Saccharomyces cerevisiae S288C: one gene and its partner. The protein of the gene in region 1 binds, or shares a complex with, the protein of each later gene. Each region holds a gene or a part of one and is shown in the gene's direction. Other genes may lie near its edges.

The links. Proteins that work in one complex are often made in the same cells at the same time.
Region 2: the proteins of MXR1 (region 1) and TRX2 are in contact, whole or in part, in a crystal structure (PDB 3PIN), measured with the Saccharomyces cerevisiae proteins. Residues at the interface, in NP_010960.1 of Saccharomyces cerevisiae: Trp27 (codon at 2,496), Gly28 (codon at 2,499), His31 (codon at 2,508), Gly173 (codon at 2,934), Tyr174 (codon at 2,937), Ala175 (codon at 2,940), Cys176 (codon at 2,943), Pro177 (codon at 2,946), Thr178 (codon at 2,949), His179 (codon at 2,952); in NP_011725.3 of Saccharomyces cerevisiae: Trp30 (codon at 2,004), Cys31 (codon at 2,007), Gly32 (codon at 2,010), Pro33 (codon at 2,013), Asp59 (codon at 2,091), Val70 (codon at 2,124), Ser71 (codon at 2,127), Ser72 (codon at 2,130), Met73 (codon at 2,133), Pro74 (codon at 2,136), Gly90 (codon at 2,184), Ala91 (codon at 2,187), Asn92 (codon at 2,190).

The regions. Positions count from the first base shown.
Region 1 is NC_001137.3:232,520-236,397, forward strand, and holds MXR1 (peptide-methionine-S-sulfoxide reductase), read left to right. Parts: upstream 1-2,417; coding exon 2,418-2,972; downstream 2,973-3,878. Other genes in the region: YEN1 (crossover junction endodeoxyribonuclease), read left to right, coding at 1-2,221; SAH1 (adenosylhomocysteinase), read right to left, coding at 3,251-3,878. UniProt on the Saccharomyces cerevisiae protein: Has an important function as a repair enzyme for proteins that have been inactivated by oxidation. Catalyzes the reversible oxidation-reduction of methionine sulfoxide in proteins to methionine.
Region 2 is NC_001139.9:911,959-915,143, reverse strand, and holds TRX2 (thioredoxin TRX2), read left to right. Parts: upstream 1-1,916; coding exon 1,917-2,231; downstream 2,232-3,185. Other genes in the region: YGR210C (uncharacterized protein), read left to right, coding at 406-1,641; SER2 (phosphoserine phosphatase), read right to left, coding at 2,332-3,185. UniProt on the Saccharomyces cerevisiae protein: Participates as a hydrogen donor in redox reactions through the reversible oxidation of its active center dithiol to a disulfide, accompanied by the transfer of 2 electrons and 2 protons.

The DNA.
Region 1 (3,878 bases):
GTTGAGAAAGTTTGTCATAGACTTTAATAAATCGCAAAAAAGAGCTCCAAGAATCGCGATTGACGCATATGGATGGCTATTTGAGTGTGGATTTATCCAAAATATAGATATAAGCGCCAGATCTAGATCAAGATCAAGGAGTCCTACCCGTTCTCCGCGTGATAGTGATATCGACAGTAGTCAAGAATATTATGGTAGCAGAAGTTATACAACTACAGGAAAAGCTGTGATAAACTTCATATCTCGATTAAAAGAACTACTGAGTTTAAACGTCGAATTCTTGCTTGTATTTGACGGAGTTATGAAACCCTCTTTCAAAAGGAAATTTAACCACGAACAGAACGCTACTACTTGTGATGATGAGAAAGAGTACTATTCAAGCTGGGAACAGCATGTTAAGAATCATGAAGTTTATGGCAATTGTAAAGGATTGCTAGCGCCATCTGACCCTGAGTTCATCAGTCTTGTACGGAAATTATTAGACTTGATGAACATTTCATATGTAATCGCATGTGGGGAGGGAGAAGCCCAGTGTGTTTGGCTGCAAGTTTCTGGGGCTGTAGATTTCATTTTAAGTAACGATTCAGATACTCTCGTATTTGGGGGAGAAAAAATCCTGAAAAATTACTCGAAATTCTACGATGATTTTGGCCCAAGTTCAATAACTTCCCACAGTCCCAGTAGACATCATGATAGTAAAGAATCTTTTGTTACTGTTATAGATCTACCCAAAATTAATAAAGTAGCAGGGAAGAAGTTTGATCGCCTGTCTCTCTTATTTTTCAGCGTGCTATTAGGTGCCGATTACAATCGTGGAGTCAAGGGTTTGGGTAAAAACAAATCTTTGCAGTTGGCTCAATGCGAAGATCCTAACTTTTCCATGGAATTTTATGACATTTTCAAAGATTTCAATTTAGAAGATTTGACATCAGAAAGTCTGAGGAAGTCTCGGTATAGATTGTTTCAAAAAAGATTATATTTATACTGCAAGGATCATTCTGTCGAGCTATTTGGAAGAAATTATCCTGTTTTATTGAATCAAGGTTCATTTGAAGGCTGGCCATCAACTGTCGCAATCATGCACTATTTTCACCCCATTGTCCAACCATATTTTGATGAAGAAGTTCTCAGTGATAAATACATAAATATGGCTGGAAACGGACACTACAGAAACTTAAATTTCAATGAACTGAAATATTTTTTACAAAGTTTGAATTTGCCTCAAATTTCTAGCTTCGACAAGTGGTTTCATGATTCTATGCACGAGATGTTTCTATTAAGAGAATTTTTATCAATTGATGAGTCCGATAATATAGGTAAAGGTAATATGAGGATTACCGAAGAAAAAATTATGAACATAGATGGTGGAAAGTTCCAAATACCATGTTTTAAAATACGGTATACAACATTCTTGCCTAATATACCCATTTCTTCTCAATCTCCTTTGAAGCGCAGTAATTCTCCCAGTAGAAGCAAGAGTCCCACACGACGTCAGATGGATATAATGGAACACCCAAATAGTCTTTGGTTACCCAAATACTTGATACCTCAATCGCATCCATTAGTAATTCAATATTATGAGACACAGCAACTTATACAGAAAGAAAAAGAGAAGAAAGGTAAAAAATCGAATAAGTCTCGGCTACCACAGAAGAATAACTTGGATGAGTTTTTAAGAAAGCATACTTCGCCGATTAAAAGTATCGGAAAGGTAGGCGAGTCGAGAAAGGAAATCCTGGAACCTGTGAGAAAAAGGCTTTTTGTAGATACAGACGAAGATACTAGTCTGGAAGAAATACCGGCTCCCACAAGACTGACCACCGTCGATGAACACAGCGATAATGACGATGATTCGTTGATTTTTGTAGATGAGATTACAAACAGCCAAAGCGTTTTAGATAGTTCACCCGGTAAAAGAATTCGGGATCTTACACAGGACGAACAGGTTGACGTTTGGAAGGACGTAATAGAAATATCACCAATAAAAAAGTCAAGAACTACTAATGCTGAGAAAAATCCGCCTGAGTCTGGTTTAAAATCACGCTCAAGCATCACAATCAATGCTCGCCTTCAAGGTACTAAGATGTTGCCTCCAAACTTGACTGCTCCAAGGTTAGAAAGAGAACACTCCTCTGTCCTTGACCAACTTGTCACAGACGCACAAGATACAGTCGACCGGTTTGTAGCCTGTGACAGTGATAGCAGTAGCACTATTGAATGAGTTAACGGGCACAGCGTCAAAAAATCCGCCACCACAGTTGATCGCGCCGAAAACGAGGGAGTTGCGATGAGTAAAATGAAGGGCATATATAAACAAGAGTAGACAGAGACACATTTTTCAATATCATATATATAGATTTAATTGGAAAGACAGTTATATTCTAACGTCAAAAACTTAACAAGTAAATCAAGTTGCAATGTCGTCGCTTATTTCAAAAACCATTAAGTATGATCCAGCCAAGGATAAATTAATCACATTAGCATGTGGATGTTTTTGGGGTACAGAACATATGTATAGGAAGTATTTGAATGACCGTATAGTGGATTGTAAAGTAGGTTACGCTAATGGAGAAGAGTCTAAAAAGGATAGCCCCTCTAGTGTCTCTTATAAGAGAGTTTGTGGTGGTGACACAGATTTTGCGGAGGTTTTACAAGTATCCTATAATCCCAAAGTGATAACTTTGAGAGAATTAACTGATTTCTTTTTTAGAATCCATGATCCTACTACATCTAATTCACAAGGACCTGATAAAGGTACACAGTATCGCAGTGGATTGTTCGCTCATTCAGATGCTGATTTAAAAGAATTAGCCAAAATAAAGGAAGAATGGCAACCAAAATGGGGTAATAAGATTGCCACAGTTATTGAACCAATCAAGAACTTTTACGATGCTGAAGAATACCACCAGTTATATTTAGATAAGAATCCACAGGGATATGCATGCCCTACTCATTATCTGAGAGAAATGTAGCTTTTTTAGTGTACGTGCCCTTATTTATGAAAAAAAGTCAAGTGCATGAATGAAATATTTACTGTTGAAGAATTTATTATATATATAGGTATACAGGATCTATCTTTTCGATAACGTAACTTAGTATCACATGTATTAGTATTAATACTGTGATAGGATTGTTAGCTGTTGTTTTTATATTTGCAATTTATTTATGATCTTTTTTGATGATCAAACCGTTGAGTTTTTGAACATTAAAAAATAGTGAGAAAGAAGAACTGAAATGGGAATTGAATTGATCAATATCTGTAGTGGTCGGCCTTGAATGGACCTTCTTCTGGAATACCCAAGTATTCAGATTGGACTTTACTCAATTTAGTCAATCTAACACCCAAGTTGCCCAAGTGGAACTTAGCGACAGCTTCATCCAAGATCTTTGGCAAAACGTGGACACCAACTTCGAATGGGCCTGTCTTTTGGAATTCAATGTGCTTTTCTCTGAAAGACTTATCGTTAGACTTGAACAAAGCAATTTGAGCTAAGACTTGGTTAGAGAAGGAACAAGACATAACGAAAGATGAGTGACCAGTAGCACAACCCAAGTTAACTAATCTACCGTTAGCCAACAAGATGACGTGTCTACCAGAAGACAACAAGTAACGGTCGACTTGTGGTTTGATGTTAATACATTCTTTAGCGTTAGCCTTTAACCAGGCGACATCAATTTCGATATCGAAATGGCCAATGTTACAAACAATGGCATCTTCTGGCATGTTGATGAAATGTTCACCGTTGATAATATCTCTACAACCAGTGGTGGTAACGAAAACTTGACCAATGTGGGATGCATCTTCCATGGTAACAACTTGGTAGCCTTCCATGGCAGCTTGTAAAGCGTTGATTGGGTCAATTTCGGTAACCAAGACA
Region 2 (3,185 bases), on another chromosome or scaffold:
GCTATGATTTCCTTTGCGTTGAACATCATAGCATTATAAATGTGCATCTCATCGCTGAAAAATTTTCGTCAACTATAAACTTTTAGGATATTCTAGCCCTGATGGGGCTAGAATATTCTAGAAAACTCCAGAGGGTTTCGGCACAATTTATTGTAGGGTTAGTAAGGGCTTTTTTATCAAGGTGAAAAATTCACTCGATGCCTTTTTTTTTTTTTCTCGAATAGATAGATATGCAAGAAATGTAATGCTATGCAGTGCAAAACAGATGTGTAAGTGTTCTAGGATGAATTGTAATGAGAGTTGGTTTTATTTTCATTTTGCGTTTTCGTTTTCCGTCTTTTAGCTTTTGTCCAACTAACTTGTAGTATAAGCTGTCTGTAAGAATAAAACGGAAATAGAGCCAGTATGCCCAGGGATCCATTGATTGGTATTGTGGGTAAGCCATCTTCAGGGAAATCCACCACATTAAATTCTTTGACGGACGCAGGTGCGGCGGTAGGAGCATTTCCCTTTACCACGATCGAGCCAAATCAGGCAACCGGCTACTTGCAAGTTGAGTGTGCTTGCTCCAGATTTGGCAAGGAAGATCTTTGTAAACCTAACTACGGGTGGTGTAGCAAGGGTAAGAGGCATATCCCCATCAAACTGTTGGATGTGGCAGGGCTTGTGCCTGGAGCGCATTCCGGCAGAGGGCTTGGAAATAAATTCTTGGATGATTTAAGACACGCAGATGCTCTTATTCATGTGGTGGACGTTAGTGGAACCACAGATGCAGAGGGGAAGAACACAAGAGGATATGATCCATTGAACGATATAGAATGGCTGCAAGACGAAATCAGGCTTTGGGTTGAGGGGAACCTGAAGAAAAGATGGGGGTCTATTGTGCGTAAACATACAGCAACGAAATCTAGCATAGTGGACACACTTCAAGCGCAATTCGGTGGGTACGGTTCACATGCGCCCATGATCCAAAAAGCCCTGGACAGGTTGAAGGGACTACCACCTTTGGAAAAATGGGATGACGAATGGATCACTCGAGTGGTCAAGTCCTTTATGATGGAGAAATTTCCAACTGTGTTGGCACTCAACAAGATTGACCACCCTGACGCCGATAAAAATGTTTCTAAAATCATGCTAAAGTATCCTGACACCAAAGCTGTACTGACCAGTGCAGTGACGGAAGTTTTTTTGAGGAAATTGAAAAAGCAAGGTTTTATATTATACGAGGAGGGCACGGAATTTGTTGACACATTTGAGGACGAGCCAGACAAACTAAAGCCACTGGACGACAAGATCCTTAACAGAATTGAAAATATCAGAGATTTGGTCCTGTATAGATTCGGATCTACGGGTGTTGTTCAGGTTCTGCAAGCAGCAACGGACATCCTTGGTCTAATACCGGTGTACACTGTGAAGAACATCCAGACTTTTACGGGTGGCAACGGAACCAACGTATTTAGAGATTGTTTTTTGGTCAAGCGAGGAACCCCTGTTGGCAAAGTTGCCAGGTATATCATGGGTGGCGAGGTCACCATTGCAAGCATTGAAACCGTTGGCGGCGTGAGAGTCAGTGAAGAAAGTCTTGTTGAGCCCGGTAAGAATGACATACTCGGCTTCAAGATCGCTCCAAGATCAGCATAACTTGAGTGCCAGTGAATATTAAGTAATCATCAAAGTATATGTGTAATTGTTTATACTCTTAGTAAAGGATGCTCCCTACAAGGTGGCTCTTTTCTTACTAAGCGCGTTCAGTTTCCAGCCAGCCGAAAGAGGGATATCAGTATATAAGAAAGCCATTCGGGGGATGAAAAGCTGACAAGAGAATAACGAGGACCAGTTTTTATTTGTTGTCTAGCAAGAATTATACACGCACACATACACGAGAGTCTACGATATCTTTAAATAACACATCAATAATGGTCACTCAATTAAAATCCGCTTCTGAATACGACAGTGCTTTAGCATCTGGCGACAAGTTAGTCGTTGTTGACTTTTTTGCCACATGGTGTGGGCCATGTAAAATGATTGCACCAATGATTGAAAAGTTTGCAGAACAATATTCTGACGCTGCTTTTTACAAGTTGGATGTTGATGAAGTCTCAGATGTTGCTCAAAAAGCTGAAGTTTCTTCCATGCCTACCCTAATCTTCTACAAGGGCGGTAAGGAGGTTACCAGAGTCGTCGGTGCCAACCCAGCTGCTATCAAGCAAGCTATTGCTTCCAACGTATAGTTGCCGGTATATTAACGCTACGTAAAGTACATCATGTTTACCAGTTTAAATAAACAATTTTAAAAAGAAACTCTATTACATCTATCTATCATTATTTTCTTCATTGTCTATTGTATATTTCATCATCGGTGTAACCAAGAATGTATAAAATGTCAGTCATGCTCTTGGTATTCAACTTACAAGGTGCAGCTTTCTGCACCTTTGGCTTGGCGTTCCATGCGATCCCAAACCCGGCGGTAGCCATGGCTGGCAGGTCGTTACCACCGTCACCCACCATACAACTTGCTTCAACTGGAACATTGTAGTCATTACATAGTTGCAGAAGGGTTTCACTCTTGCACTGTCCGTCTACGATAGGACCCAGTGTTTTACCGGTTAATTTTCCATCAGTGTCAACTTCCAACAAGTTTGCCTTACAAAAATCTAAACCTAACTGATCCTTGATAAAACCGGCAAACTGAATAAAACCACCGCTTAAAACAGCGAGCTTGCAATTTTTTTTGTGAAGGAACTTGCATAGTTCTGGCACACCCTTGGTGACCTCTAGCTTTTGTTTTATTTCATCATATAGTGTATCGACTTGGAGGCCTTGCAATAATTTAACGCGTTCTCTTAAAGACTCTTTGAAATCAAGTTCATTGTTCATGGCTCTTTCTGTGATCTCGTGCACTTGTTCTTCAACACCAGCATAAGCGGCAATCAATTCGATGACCTCTTGGTAGATTAATGTTGAATCCATGTCAAAGACAAAGAGCTTTTTGGCTTGACGATATTCATTGTCGACAGAAACAATAACATCAACATCATTATGACTGTCAATGACGTTCGTCAGCTTATTCTTGAGGTCTTTTTGAACAATCGATCCTGCGACTTCAATGAATATATCGGTAGCTCTGGCCGATAGTTTCTTGGTACCATTGATTGATACATCTTTCGCCGAGCTTTCAGTAATTT